4 linked regions of the Xenopus tropicalis genome follow. The protein of the gene in region 4 purifies or fractionates together with the protein of the main gene of each other region. This does not show direct contact. Links are inferred from orthologs where the notes say so. Each region holds a gene or a part of one and is shown on either strand. Other genes may lie near its edges.

The links.
Region 1: the proteins of snca (region 4) and park7 purify together in Homo sapiens (affinity purification with western blotting; 3 studies listed by BioGRID and IntAct, with this or other methods). This does not show direct contact. The link is inferred for Xenopus tropicalis from reciprocal best matches to the Homo sapiens genes SNCA and PARK7.
Region 2: the proteins of snca (region 4) and slc6a3 purify together in Homo sapiens (affinity purification with western blotting; 6 studies listed by BioGRID and IntAct, with this or other methods). This does not show direct contact. The link is inferred for Xenopus tropicalis from reciprocal best matches to the Homo sapiens genes SNCA and SLC6A3.
Region 3: the proteins of snca (region 4) and clu purify together in Homo sapiens (affinity purification with western blotting; 3 studies listed by BioGRID and IntAct, with this or other methods). This does not show direct contact. The link is inferred for Xenopus tropicalis from reciprocal best matches to the Homo sapiens genes SNCA and CLU.

What each region holds. Positions count from the first base shown.
Region 1 is NC_030683.2:96,565,145-96,569,421, reverse strand, and holds the start of park7 (protein deglycase DJ-1), read left to right. Parts: upstream 1-1,421; 5' UTR 1,422-1,431; coding exon 1,432-1,521; intron 1,522-3,535; coding exon 3,536-3,637; intron 3,638-4,277. UniProt on the Homo sapiens protein: Multifunctional protein with controversial molecular function which plays an important role in cell protection against oxidative stress and cell death acting as oxidative stress sensor and redox-sensitive chaperone and protease.
Region 2 is NC_030682.2:78,463,888-78,467,454, reverse strand, and holds part of slc6a3 (sodium-dependent dopamine transporter), read right to left. Parts: intron 1,587-3,567; coding exon 1,349-1,586; intron 1-1,348. UniProt on the Homo sapiens protein: Mediates sodium- and chloride-dependent transport of dopamine. Also mediates sodium- and chloride-dependent transport of norepinephrine (also known as noradrenaline). Regulator of light-dependent retinal hyaloid vessel regression, downstream of OPN5 signaling.
Region 3 is NC_030681.2:159,885,964-159,889,461, forward strand, and holds the end of clu (clusterin), read right to left. Parts: intron 3,419-3,498; coding exon 3,248-3,418; intron 2,583-3,247; coding exon 2,168-2,582; intron 1,770-2,167; coding exon 1,656-1,769; intron 1,282-1,655; coding exon 1,052-1,281; intron 607-1,051; coding exon 532-606; 3' UTR 515-531; downstream 1-514.
Region 4 is NC_030677.2:78,431,450-78,435,671, forward strand, and holds the start of snca (alpha-synuclein), read left to right. Parts: upstream 1-1,421; 5' UTR 1,422-1,705; intron 1,706-2,107; exon of another isoform or gene 2,108-2,213; intron 2,214-2,253; exon of another isoform or gene 2,254-2,338; intron 2,339-2,671; 5' UTR 2,672-2,696; coding exon 2,697-2,817; intron 2,818-4,222. UniProt on the Homo sapiens protein: Neuronal protein that plays several roles in synaptic activity such as regulation of synaptic vesicle trafficking and subsequent neurotransmitter release.

The sequences.
Region 1 (4,277 bases), on a different chromosome or scaffold from region 4:
AGGGAGTTTTATGAGAGGGGTCCTTTAGCAAAAAGCCAATAGAAATACAAAGTAAAAAGGCACTCCCATCTTTGCTACAGAGCAGCCTGACCTGAAAACATCTATTAATACAGTACCTAAAACAATGGTGCCTCTTTTACAATTAGCACTGTTAACCCATTGGTTTCTTGCTCACCTGTTCACTTGTCGATCAGTAATGTATTGTGATACAATTACGAAAAGCACAGATTTGCTTTCCTAGATTATCCTAAAAGCAAAACTTCTGTTTAAATTACATAAAAATGTATTCTGTACACCTAACGTTTGTATGAGTTCATCCAGCGCGTTCTATTATAAGGTTCATTCTATAGCCCTATAGAGAGCCATGAATGCCCACTGTATCATATACAGCTTATCAGTTATCTGCTATGTAAAGGTGTGTCCTATAGCCCCATGAGAACTTGGATTGTTGCTCCCATGGCTACACAGCAACTTATTTTACCATAGTAGCACTTGTCAAGCAAACTCAATTTTCTCATGCAGAGTAAACATGCCCAAACTCAGTTGGGGAGTCTGGACTATTGCCTGAATGCCTATCCTGTCAATCAAAGACTTTACCAATAAAGTGATGTGGGCCCAGTCCCAATGGGTCTGCATAGACTTTACAGACCAAAGGGCCCCTGAGAATGCAGAGAAGCTAGGTCCCTTAATGCAATACTGAGTGGAAAACTTGTTAAACTAAAACTCTCCAACCTCCCTAAGGTGTCAAAGGCTCATGTTAATACAATGTATGTAGTATCAACATGTCTTTCCCTTAGAGATCCCATTAGGACTGGGGGCCCAGATGGCGGCAGGGCTTGAGCTAAGTGGGTGTGTGAGTGGGTACAAGCGCCTCTCATATTATAAAGCTACTCACACAATGACAGGAATGATATTAGTACCGGGAATGTGTGCGTTAAACGTGGGTGAGTGAGGCCGGGTCCCTACCGTCAGATAGCCAGTCTCTCTCTCAGCCTACTCCCACAGATAGCGCACAATAGCATGGAATTGCCTTCTGGGTCAGGAACAAGATGCGCCTGCAGTCGCCGCTATTATTCCCTTTCTCTCACACTCACAGAACAGACAGAAGGTGACGCCATGGGTCATGTGACCGAGCTGTGCCTGTGGGACGCGCTGAGGCAGGAAATGGTGTGTCGGGACTACGACTCCCAGCATTCCAGCAAAGCTTGAAACCTGTCGAGCACCACTGTAACCGCAATGTGAAAGTTCAAGCTATGAAGCCGGAAAAAATACAATGTACAGTTAGAGCCCCCGTTGCGCATTTAATTGAATTAAGCAGAGTTTGACACAAGAGGCTTTCCGTCAGTTGATGCAGGGGGTGGGGCTGTACGTGAGATATTGGTGCGCTCTGGCCCTGGAGGCGGAGTTTGTGAGCTAGCGGAGAAAGAGAGTATGGCTGGCAAGAGGGCTCTATTGATTTTGGCCAAGGGGGCCGAGGAGATGGAGACAGTCATTCCCGCTGATGTGATGAGAAGGGCAGGAGTGAGTAATACATGGCTGCTAGCTGCTTGCGAGACCGTATGGCTGTGCAGCTTGCTGGGCATGGAGGGGTGGTTACACTGAGCTCTGAAGGTGTGGTGCGCTGGCACTGTAACTATTGGCTGGATACGGATTTCTAACATCAGGAAGTTCTAGTTCAGTAGCCGCCGCAGGTTGCCATTAGTTAGTGACTGTGCAACAGGTCCCTCTATCAGTGGCTAAGCACTGCTGCTGAACAGTCACACTGCCTATGTCTGCCTGGAGAAATCCAGCCCTTGCTGTCTGTGGCCTGAGCTGGGAATTAAGCACGTTTGATTCTTTGCCTCATTTGCCCACTCAGTTGTTAGGCGAAATCTGCTGCAGGGATTGCTTGGCCCCAGTGCCAAAATCAGCTCATAATTGGGACCTGTGCTGTCCTACTGGGAGGCACCTTGGCAGTCAGTGCTGGGTCTCAGTCAGTGGGCATGCCTTCCTTTTGGCCCCATACATGGGCTTTAAGATACTTAGTTTGTCTGGATTTAATGACTGCACTTGTCCTGCCAGCTTCTCCTGCCACTGTATGTGATTAACCTGCTGGCACGCAATATAGAAGATATAGAGACCAGAGTCTCTCCCACAAAACAAAGCAGGATCAGTTACCCTTTCTCTGAAAGGTTTGTTAACATTACCCTGTTACCTGGAATGTCTGTATGTGATTTAACACTAAGTGTAAAGATTTAAAATCTAGACCTTTCATGGAATGCAAAATAAGAGAATATATGTACAGAGTAACATAGGTTGAAAAAAAGACACACATCCATCAAGTTCATCCTTTTATGCCTAAATCCTGTCTGTTAGTTGATCCAGAGGAGGGCAATATATCTCTTCTGTTGCAATGACCTGCCCTTTGGGTACTGGTAACTGCAGTTTAGGTAAAAAGGAATGATTACAGAGACCTCTAGTGGTAACAAACCACTGTGCAACTTGTGTGTAATGTAACTTTGTGACCTGTGGTGTTTTTATTATCACCTATTAATAAAATACCAACATATTCCACAGTGTTGTACAACAAATGGGTATATCCATTAAATAAACAAGAAAATATACAATTACAACCAACAACCTATACAATACTTAAAGAAGACCCTGTCCAGAAAAACTTTCAACTTTCAAAAAGGGGTAATTTACTATGACCCGGGCACAAAGGGATGCAAATGGCAGAAACCCTGGCAGCACTACCTTCTAAAATAACTACAAGCTCGTGGACATTGCCTCCAGCAATCATATGCTCAAGAAGTCAGTCCATTGGGCAAATTTTAGACACAAATTGCAGTGTGTTGTTTATTAACATTGCAGCTGATTGGCTGTAAGGTGAGCTGTAGAGTAGGCATTCTTCACATTTTTTGATGTGTTGACAATTTAGAGATCAGTGCCATTTACTGCATTTGTGTACAGACTCCACAATATTCAGAATTCCTGTATTATTGTGGGCACATAATAGTATCAAAAGAAAAAGAGAGGAGCGTGCTCCCATAGGATAATATCAATGGTATAATTTTTTAATTTAAATATATTGCACGTAAATAAATAGCAGCAGTATCAACATCTCAACAGCAAAGTCCATATAAGCCTATAGTGTACAGACTTCCTTTGTGCCCCTGAGGAAGTCTTTTTATCAGAACAACACTTCGTAATAGTGTCTGATTCAACTTATATACTAAATATTGATGGAAAATAGTATGTGTTTTGGTAAACTGCACCTAAGTTACTATGTACAGTTGGCATCACTTCCAGGTCTTCAAATTCACATGCCATCAATAGTGGCTTTCCTGTCTGATATACTTGGTGTAAGTCAATTGAATCTGTGGGCACAAACCACTAATGGAAACCTGGAGCTACTGGCAGGTCAAGGCTCTCTTAATCCCATGGATCCCTTGTGTCAATGCACACAGTTGCATGCAATTCATGAGAGCAGGTCGAATGTTGCATGTTTTGTTAAGAAAAGTTTATTTACAGTTGCCATTTTTCCATTTACCAGATAAAGGTAACGATTGCAGGTCTAAGTGGAAAGGATCCGGTTCTGTGCAGCAGAGATGTGGTGCTGTGCCCTGACACTAGTCTGGAGGAGGCTCGAACACAGGTAAGGTATACGTTCATTATTCATAGGTGTGTTGGGCAAACACTCCTACTTTGGCTTACTGTACTGTGTTTTCTCTCGTGAAGGATAACCACATGCCTTCATTTTGCCTAAAAAAACTAAAATTAACTTTTTTTTTTTCTATAACATTTCTGACTGTGAAAGGCACATACATTATCCACTTGCAATATGATTTGGGGTAACCGGATTCTCTGTATAAATAGGCCATTGGGATTTTTGTGTCTAATCATGTGTGGATCTTGTGATATAAGAGTGTGTAGTGTGTTGATCAAATGCTTGTAGCTTGTTAGTTTTTATTTGCATGTATGAAGAATAATTCTAGCTAATATAGCTAGTGGAATACATATGTTCATTCTAGCAGCAATTCTTTACCGCTATAATCTCACTTTCAGCACAGGCAGGCATGGGCTGGGTGCTTTGCCGGCCAGAGCTGCTTTTTAGTGCCAGTCCAGCTCAGCCCTGCTTGGCTGCTTAACTGACAGTTTGAAGGTCAAAGTCTATTTCAGTACATGACACTTTAAAAACTCACCCACCTGCTAGATGTAAAGCCTCTTCATTTATGATCTTAGATATTACTTTCAGAGAATGCAGAAGATCTTTCAGGAACATCTTTCAGTGGACT
Region 2 (3,567 bases), on a different chromosome or scaffold from region 4:
GTAAAATCAGATGTTATTGATTGAAACTGCATAACTGCCAATCATGAGCCAGATACAATTTCTTGAAATAAAAGAAGATTAAACATGTGATAAGTTTTTCATATAAAACCAAATCTGGCCCTAAGTATGGTACCATACCGCAATTATTTCTACTTTCTGAGGAAGGCAAAATGCTGTGGAGCCCATGTTATGTGGAAACAATGCACCAGTGTGACCCTATGTCGCAGACTCTCCCTACAGAAAACTTCAGAGTGTACTGGTAGACCATTTAAGTTATGAAAAGGGATACTTAAATATGTATAAAATTAACAGGTGTACTTATAGAATCTAAAATGGCATTTATAGGTGGAGTTTGCATTTTCTAACAAAGCAATAGAAAAAGTATGCTTTTTATTTACTAAAAAAAATTACAGTTTGTTGAATCCTATTACATTTTTTCATTTTAAATGTGTAAATGATGAAGTTTCTCTGTTTTATTAATATAGACTACACATTTTGGTGGAACTTATTGAAAGACGAGCTTACTGCCGCTTATTTGTGATCTGCTGTAGTGATTATTTTTAGATTAGCACCTACAAACTGATAATTCAATAGACCTTCTGGGAGAGGTCTCACAACCATTGCCTCAGATAGAGTAATGGTAAAACATGTATGGTTTTGCTTGGTCACCATAACTGGATGAATTTTCATGCTTTCTCCCTCTACTCCAGGTAGGATTTTATGGGAGATGCAAAAGAAAGATGTGTCCAGCAAGTGCCAATCTAGAGTAATGGGAATTAATGTTGATTAATTTAATCACCTTTATAAATAACACCTTTATAAATAACAGAAAAAACACGCACATATATCATACTTTACAGCTGTACAAGAGAATTGAGAGAAATACTGAAATATTTTACCTGGTTATGCTGGGTGCATGATAAAGCAGGATGATGTACTGCATAGTAAACAACCATTAAGCATTCTGTTATAAAATGGTTCATAAAACTGTACCCCCAAAAGTCAAGCTTGGGAATATTGAACCTAAATTAAGTGGTAGCAGTCTGCATGCCATGATTAGTTGCACATCGGCCCTATGACTTGAATTTGGTTGATCAATAAACTATGTAGATTGATTGAGTCAAGCATTATAAAATGGAAGAGCTGGTCAAAAATAAAGTACAGCTACACTACTTTTAACCACTTTTATCAACAACATCCAGGCTTTTACTAAAATCTATTGGAGGGTATAATTTGTTCTACATTGTTATTTGCACAGAATCACTGGAATTATCTCATTCCTCTCTGTAAGGGCTTTAAAATTTTACTGTAAAAGAAAGAATTACAGAGGAAATGAGCCAGTACTTACTCAAAGTATTCAGCAGCAGGTGTGACTTTATAAGTATCATTCAAGCCAAATAAGCTGTAGTCACTGAAGTTGCTATATTTTGTCTCAGAACAGTTGGGACTGTTCCATGAATTGTTACAGTGAATCCAAGGTAATTCCGAGGTAAAGGAGGAAAATAGATACTGCAGAGCCCATGCAATGATTACATTATAAAAAAAGCCAACATATAAAGATATCAAAATGACCGTATATCCAACCCCTATAAATAAACAGAGAAAGAGTTAGTTTAGGTGAATTATTAGATACGCAACAAAATTTTTTATCATAAGACTATATAACATGCTATCATAAGGCTATATGGATAATGTATTATTTCTACTGCATTTATAATGTGCACATCTTCCATTCTCCAGACAGTATAAGTATAGGCCCCTGTTGAGCATGAGAGTGTTCTTAAATGCAGTATGCACCTTTGAGGGTGTATTTGAATGCAGGGTACCCAGAGAATATTATAATTGCAAACAAAACATCTGTCTTTATGGAGCCTTGGATACTAAGTACATTTTCATAATTTTTATTGTGTAAACATTGTAATAATGGATCACTTCTCAGCTTTAATAAAGGCTTTCTTCCCTACCATTTTAACAGCTTTGTCCCCGGGCAAGTTTTCTGCATATTTGTCAGACAGGCAGCAGCTGAAGACTTTAAAGAAAGTTGTTTTTTTGTCTCTGCCTTTCATGCAGATCTCTTAGCTCATGTTAAATTAAGGTAGTGACTAAATGTTGAACTATGGTGCCACAACTTTCATCAGCACTACAGCCAATTACCTACCACCAATATATTATAATTTGAAAACAGGGAGCAAGCAAGATTTTACTGTACACACTTATCTTCACTTTCATATTGGTGCACTGCATAGAGGAATGAAATAGCTCAAAGCAGAGCTGGGTTGGAACAAGGCAGAGGCAGAAGAGAAGACGGAATTAAGCAGATCCCAGCAAACAGAAGAGAGGAAGGCAGTAATCGCAGTTATCAGCACACAATACTAGAATAGGGACTGTTCCTAGATACAAGCTATTAAACCCCAGCTGTGTGTACTGTGGGGTGGTGAATGCAGCAATCTGTTAACAGGTGCAAAAAGGCTGATTCATAACAATAGTGTTTAGGGAAGACTGGCCGTTTTCTTCCACTTTGCTTAGATATGGGGGAAACAGGCTAATTTATTACAGGGGGATGCAGGGAGTCAAGCTGAAATTTCAGGAGAGTGTGCTTATGTATTGCAAAGGGGTCTGAAAGAGACTGTGATGCTTTATAAAATTATTATAGACGATCTGTTACAGGGGAATGAGCCACTGCTGTCCTGTTACTGGGAGGCTATGCAATTTTATTCATGAGGATAAATGTGCTGTAGTGTTTCTTTATTTGCACTTAGCACCCTATTCTGCACTTAATAACTGTATTATGCATGGAGACTGCATATATCATAGTATGGTAGAAATGCAATCTGAGGTATTTGTACTGTATTTTACTTCCTAAGTTTCCTTATTGCTTTCATGTTTTATTTGTCTATTTGTGTACATTGTTATGGATTAGTTTAAGGTGAAACACATCAATGTCTCTGGTTAAAATAAATCTTTCCTAGCTTGGGGAAGATAATGATATTCGCCACCACAAATAAGCAGCAGGTTCCACTTTAACATGTTGCTATTACTTTTTAATCAACAGAAGCAGCGCAACTTAGCTATTCCACCATATATTTCTGAAGCAGAACACAAGGACCCACAGAGTAACACAATTTATTCAAATTGTATACATTTTCCAATACAACTTGCTGTATGGCAGTTTCATCTAAGTAATAAGTAATAAATGCAGATCATAAAGAAAAAATGGATGAGAAAATAAAAGACTGGACAGCTTGGGATGGCTACAATTAAAATGAATTCATATTTAAGAGGAAAGATGAAGCAATTGCCTATTTTCTTCTACTGCACAAAAACATGTCTGAAAGATATTTTTCCAAAGCGATTGCATTACGCTTGTCTTGGTTACAACTTGTAGTCTATGTAAACAACAATAATATTTGTGAATGCCTGTAACTAAAGTTGATGTTTTGTATGGCTATTTAAAATGCTTTAGTCCTTTGAGTCCTGGACTTGGGCAATAACAAGAATATTGGTTTATGTTAGAAAAGTCTAGCAATGACCTACATGTTCAAATCAAAAAGGCAAGCAGGCAGACCC
Region 3 (3,498 bases), on a different chromosome or scaffold from region 4:
CCCCACTTACTCTCATCTTAATTTCCACCAGGATGCAAACTGCCTGCCCTGATTGGTTTCCTGATGGAAAACATGGCTGGCTGTGCTAGTATTCATCAATGGCCAATGACCCTTACTGCTTAACTTTCCCTTGAGATATAATAGCCCCTCTAACTGCCGCCCACTGCCATGTCAGGCTTACAGGTAAGTATCGGCCAAGACTTACACAGCTTCCGCTTTAAACCTCTTAAGCGCTTCCTCGGCCACCAGTTCCCCAAACTTCGGGTCATCCATGGAGATGTATCCGGGCAAAGCGAAGGTTATTGGGTCGGAGTCGAAGACGTTGACGGTCACTTTGGTGTCGGAAGGAGACTCTCCTTCCTTGGAATAGATCTAATGAACATAGAGACGTAAGGAATGAGTGGAAAGGGGCAGAAGGCAAGAGACGGGCCATAGTGTAGAAGGTCTCCGAAGGGGCATCAAGCCCTTAACCTAATGCTCATGGTGGGACTTTCTACACGTATTAAGATCAGGGCATTAAATGAACATTGCTCAGTTTGGGTCAGAGTCAAAGACGTTGATGGTCACTTTGGTATCGGAAGGAGACTCCCCTTCCTTGGAATAGATCTAATGAACACAGAGAAGTAAGGAATGAGTGGAAAGGGGCAGAAGGCAAGAGACGGGACACAGTGTTGGCTTTCTGAAGGTCTCCAAAGGGGCATCAAGCCACCAACCTAATGCTCATGGTGGGACTTTCTACACGTATTAAGATCAGGGCATTAAATGAACATTGCTCAGTTTGGGCCCACAACTGCTCAGTGGTGATGCACTTGATTTAGGAAAATGGTTCTGCCCAGTGAGCCCATTGGGTCCATTACAGTTACCTGATATACAGGAAGTAGGGCTCAAATCCCAAGTAACTCTAGGACCTCTGGCTTTGTGGCCCTGAGAGAGAACCTTTAGCCACATTCAAAATGTCTCTGTTGAACTTGCCAAGGTGCCCAGAAGGTCCTTGGTACCAGGAAGCCACCACACCCCGGCCATTGGAGGAATAACACAATGCACCACTTACAGTGGAAACTTGGAAGATCCCATTCTTTCTGCCCTGGGTCATGTTGGTGAATTTGGAAAGCCACCCAAACTGCTTGTTCAGCTGCTCCAAGATACCGGTGGTGTTGAGCATCTTCTCCCGGAACTGTTCCAAGAGGTCGTCGTACTCCCTGGTGAACCTCTCGGCGAGGCGCAGGGAGTCCTGAAACACCTCCTGCAGCTGCTCCTGCACCGGATCCTTCCCGGAACAATCTAACATCCAGATAATGAGCCCCATGTGATCAAACGGAAAGTAAAAAACTTCATAGATTTCATTAAATTAAGAAACATGTTTTTGAATGAGTGTCTCAAGGCCCCGGTGTGGCCCCCAGAGATGTGTATGGACCCCCCGCCATGCCCATGACATCATCAGGCTGCTACACATGACATCATTATTACAATTATACTATAAGGGAAATAGTGGGCAACACTGGCAAAAAATAAATGCCTTGGCCTTGGCCATCTGCTGGCAGAATGCGGTATTGCAGCAGGTCCGTTCATCTATTTCTGGGGCTCAATGCATTTCCACAAATAAGAGCATTCATGAATGTACTTGTCAGTACTTATCTACAATGTAACCTACTTACCTAATGCTAAAATCTCCTTGCATTTCTCACACTTTTCCTGCATCTTTAAACAGCCGGCTGAATTGCGACGCAACTCCTTACAGACCAGTTTGTCATCGGATTCATCGCCATTTCCTACATAGGAAACAACATTCATTGGGGGTGGGGAGGAAAGGAGATCTCACCATCAGCATAGGAAGGGGTTCCTTACTGTAAGGGCAGTCAGGTTATGGGGTTCCCTACCAAGAGAGGGGGAATGAGTGATACATTGGGGGGGGGGGAGGAAAGGGGATGTCACCAGCAGCATAGGAAGGGGTTCCTTACTGTAAGGGCAGTCAGGTTATGGGGTTCCCTACCCAGAGAGGGGGAATGAGTGATACATTGGGGGTGGGGAGGAAAGGGGATCTCACTATCAGCATAGGAAGGGGTTCCTTACTGTAAGGGCAGTCAGGTTATGGGGTTCCCTACCCAGAGAGGGGGAATGAGTGATACATTGGGGAACCCTGGGAGATGGCACACAGTATAATACTTACCCCTTATGGAGCCCAGTCCTTCCAGCCTTGGGGCAAAGTGGTGACTTCTTTCCATCATTTTCTGTGCAGCCTCTAAGAGGGACTCGAAGTCCCCAGAGAAATAGGGGTGGAACGAGGGAGACCTTGCCCGCCGAGACTCAGCAAATGGGAACCCGACTCGCTGGAAGGGAAATGGGTTCCACTGAGACCCAAAGAAGTCACTATGGAAGGAATTACTGAAGAACGGCTTCATTTGCCCAAAGGCTTTGATGCTTTCCCTGAAGAGCTCATCGACACTGTCCTCCACCAGACTGTAGCCCCCCTCAAGGTCATCCAGGGTCATAGACTGCTGCTCTCCCTCCTGGGTCAGCGAGTTGATCTGCTGTCCATTGATTAAAATGGAGAATGGAGAAGATTGGTTCAGGAATTCCTCAAACTGCAACAGGAAAGAGAAATGTGGAATGAGCGAGTTATAGGCCTGGGTGGTCCCCCAGCTGATGGTACAACACAACCTCTAGCAGCACCCTTGCATCCAAGGCTCTGGTCTCCTTACCTTACCAGGAGATACCTGGTGGTCCAGTGAGCTCTCTACTCCACCCAACCAGCTGGCCTCACTTATCTGCCTCCACCATGGCTTTCTTGTCTTCCTGAGGGCCACTACAAGAAGTTCTTAGCTAGGTATTATTCCCAATCACAGGGGGGTGTCCTCCTGTCCAATAATAGAGCTGTGGGCTCCATTTATTGTCTTATGGCCTTCCTACATGCTGAACATTAGGGCATCTTACTTCTAAGGACCCTAAAGACCACTTATGATGGATCAGGAAAGAAGACAGGCCCACCTTATGGTGGACCAGGAGAGAAGACAGGCCCACCTTATGGTGGACCAGGAGAGAAGACAGGCCCACCTTATGGTGGACCAGGAGAGAAGACAGACTCCCTCATGGTGGAGCAGGAGAGAAGACAGGCCCCCTTATGGTGGACCAGGAGAGAAGATAGACCCCCTTATGGTGGACCAGGAAAGAACAGTGAGTTGAAGGTTCCCTGGTGGTACCACCCAATAGCAACGCATTCGGACAGACTACAGACAGGTGTCAGACTTACCTGGCGCCCCACCAGGCCAGAGCCGCTCCGGCAGGTTTTGGAGTAGAACCTCACACAGGTCTGTTTCAGGCAGGGCTTGCACTCCTCCCAGAGGGCCAACATGGTCTCGTTACACACCTCCTTCTTCTCCGCAAGCTGCTGCTCCGTGTCTAGGGCTCTCTTTAGGGCTTCCTGCCGGAACCAACGGGATCAAATGGGTTTCAGTCAGAAACTGCCCAGAAACTGTACATTCTAGAACTATTGTAGAACTA
Region 4 (4,222 bases):
TTAACTCTACGGTGGATTAGAGAATGCAAAATAAGACAGTGGTGATCAGAACTAAGACCATAAGAATAACTAGGTGTTAAAACACAAATCACAAATGCACAAAATGAAATGGGCTTTTTGTGTGACAGATGCCATGTCTTTTTTGAAGTACAGGAGCAACATACCCCCTTGTTTAACATGAGTTCAATTAGTAGGGCTTGTGCTAGTTGTACTTTTTGCATATTGTTTTAAAAGACACCTCTCCTCCAACAGAAGAATCTTCAGAACAATTCTGTGAATTATTCCTCTGTCGTTGTAGCTTTCTTGAATAACAAAGGGGTTATGTACTGTACCACACACACAATACATTGTGTAAAGTGCAAAAAGGCATTAAGTGTCGCACTCTTGCACATGTAACCTGGGGATTAGAAAATGAGCACTTAAATTAGCTTGGAAGCCTTGCTGTGTTGGAAAAATAGATTGATTCTCTACTGGGTACCATTTGGTTGTAGTTTCCCAAGGGATTTATTTGTTTTCCTGGTTTCTTACTACTATATATATATATATATATATATATATATATATAATATGTAAATAAGGGATGATAATAATAGTACTCCTGTTTTTTAGGAATGAAACTGGTTGCTGATCTTATAGCATTTCATAGCAGTGCATGGATAATGGTCAGAATGAATTATTGTGGATAAGGTTGATAATAAGATGTTATCATTACCAGTAACCAGAATGGGTCTGCAAAATGTAATTATCTAAAGGTTCCACATTCTTTAGTTACAGTTATGAATTGGAGTATTTAGGGCATAATTACATTGTCCTTCCACTGACCAATTCCCTGGGTTGAAAGGAACCATCTACATAATATAGTAAATACTAGAATTCAGTTTTGGTAAGGCTTTGTAATATTTTAGCTGTTTAGTGTTATTCTTCTCTTCTTACTGTCATTAGTAATTGGAGAGAGCGCTTAAATGCTTGCCTGTTACATATCTGCTATCACCTTAGTGACTGCAAGCTTGTTGTAAGAAATATTTATTGTGGCAAGTGCAGATATTTAGCAATAAATAATTCAGCACAGCAGGCATACAGCAGCTGCTAGGGTAAGGTAGCAGATCATTTGCATGTCTGTAGTAGACGATATTACTCTTTTTTGTTGGTGGTGTTTTGTGGGCAGATTTGATTGTTGCTTTCCAGCACCTACATTACAAATGAAGGTGACGGGAACAATAATTTTCCGATGCAAGGCAGACCTCTTAATCTCAAATATTTCTGTTGATAATGGTTCTCATTGTTTGCTCGAGCAGCAGTCGGATTACAAGTGGTCCAGCTTGGGGAGGCTGGCTACGATTATTCAATTTTCACACTGACAAATCAGGCATGTGGAAAGGAAAGACGGGAGGAGGGAGGTGTGGAGGGTGTAGGGGAAGGGAAGAAAAATACGGAGGACATAGGTTGCTCCTACTGAGTAAAAGTATTAATCTCTTATTTTTTACCCCTTCTAAAATTCCTTCTGTTTATGAAGAGCTGATAGGTGTGGTTTCTCTGGTACCTGCTTTGAATGCTTTGATTCCATCAGGTTGTTACATATGCACATACCTCTCAGGGGATTTATTTGGCAGTTATGTACTGAAGAAGAGACTTGATTCCTTTTTTATTGTTTATACACGCACAGATATCATTCCTGTTGGACTAATTTTGGGGAGCAAAGGTTAATGTAAGTATTGCATTTACATCTATATAACATGCCATGTAGGATATTAAGTGTATTTATTCTGCTCACTATGAGCTTTTTTAAATGTTCTATCTGGCATTTTCACCCAGACCTAGTTTAAGCAGCTGACAGTTGCTCACGGGATAGCTTGTCACCTGTGTCCTTAATGCAACGGAGAATGATGCACATGGTTGTTTGTCTTATATAAGGAGAATAGGAAGTATGAAGGTTTCTGTGGGTTAAATGCTCAATTTTATCTTTAATCTTTTTGCCTGTGTGAAGTACGGTATATTGTGTCTGTTTCTCTCCCATTCCCTTTCTCTGACTCTCCCTCAACCACCCCCACACAAACTCTCTCACACATACACAGCACCACTCTTGCATACAAACACACTCAAATATTCATTCTTGCACACACACTCATACATATCTGTATAAAGAGAGACTCTCACAATCACAGACATACATACACTTTGATCTTCATCACCTATCAAACATCTTAAATAATTAGGTACATTTTAACAACAGGGATTATCTTTTTTCCTTAAGAATAAAGTTTTTGTTGGATTAAAAATAATTATTGTAAAGCTTTTTCATCCTGACAACAGCTATTGCATTATTATTTACAATATTTTGGTAAGTTACAGACCTTTGTAAAATACTACCATCATAGACCGACTCGTCCTGTTGAAATACTCTGTTGCATGTTGTAATGTAGTAAAGAAGTATTAGACAAATGGCGTTTCATGTTTCAGAAATCCATTTTTGGCAATATAATACATATATATAGCATATCTTGCTGATTGGACTGATTAAGGATAGACAAGGGTTGCACCGAGAGATTGTTTTTTAAATCCTATACTAATCAGTTACAGATATTTTATTTTGTAGATGCTGTTCAAATGTAATGAGTTACACTATAATCAAATGACCTGTCCTAATGTGTTTGTATGCATTTGTCTTTTGCAGAGCCACTAGAATAAATTTATTAGCTATGGATGTATTCATGAAAGGGCTTTCTAAAGCTAAAGAGGGTGTTGTGGCAGCTGCAGAAAAAACCAAACAGGGAGTGGCAGAAGCAGCAGGAAAGACAAAAGAGGGTGTTCTCTACGTAGGTAGGTAAAAAACTAATCAATATAATGTCATCTGTTCAATTACAATCCTTATCTCCATTTTTCATCACCCTGCAAAAAACACAATAGGATCTATCATTTGTCTTCCGTGTCCTTGGAATACAAATGCAAATACCCTTTAACATTTGTTTATTGTGTAGAAGTTTGTAGCAGTAGTTGTCCATGGCAGAATGGATCTGTAACCCCTGGAGATCACAGAGGATCTCCTTGGTGGTAAATCCCATACATGTCTGTTTTAGAAGCAATAGCCCACTGTACAGTTTTGTAAGCCACAAGACAGACCACTACAGAAACTGTAGGCTTGATAATAGATTGCCCAGTTCTAATCACATTGTAGCCTGTTACACATATTCTTTACATTATGATTTTACAAAGTGTTGTTTCTTTTGAAGGTATATTGCAAATCTAATTTACACAATACAAATAAATAATGACTAAATTTAAATGCTACTCTTTATAATGACAATTAAAAAATTAGGGAGAGGGATAGAAAGAACATAGTTCAATATATTCTACAGATCTGTAAAATAGAAGGGTGAACACATCAATATAGTTCTCCAAGTGCTCAGGCAAAGGAAAGAGGCATAGGAACCAGACCAGAAAGGTCAACTAGGGAAGATTATGGGACACACTGCCCCCTGAAACCTACAAAAGACCTGAGTTGTGGTCCAGTACACTACATTTTAATAATAACACAAAACTAAATGTCCTTAGTTCTCTTGTGTAAACCCTACATGTTCCTATTATGTATATAATTTGGGTACATCTCCCTCACTCAGACAGCATCATTTGTACTGCATATATCCCCAAAGTTCACCAGCACCATATTATTTTCCTAAAACAGATAGTAGCTTTCACCCACCCGCCATTATTAGTGATGTATTTGCAAACAGCAACTTTATGCTGTAAAATTCATGCAACTGAGACTGCAGGCTTACACAGGCAAAACTTACTTTGATAAACATTTTTGGTTGGTTTGAGCACTCTAATGTTTAATCTGAGCTCAGAAGACATGGCTAGGAGAAAAATAGAAGCAGACAGCTAGAGCAGAGCTTCTATGGGAACCAGCAATGCCATCTCCTAATTGTCTGCTAGACTGGAGAGTCTAGTAATCTGAGTTGAGAAGAACTGAGCATGCCCAGTAGCCAACAGTCAAAGCATATTCCTGAGGAAGGGGGCTGAGTGGGTTACAGAAGAAGAAGGAATCCTAAGTGATTAACGGGATGCTGCAGCCTTACTATTAACCTTTTAACAACAAGAGTGACATGTAGTTAAATATTTCAAAGAGGCTGCTTACTTATTACATGTTTGTGGGGGGTTCACGTGTCCTTTAAAATTAAAATATGTACATAGAATAAAGTTTGCACAGTGCACATATTTATAGTCA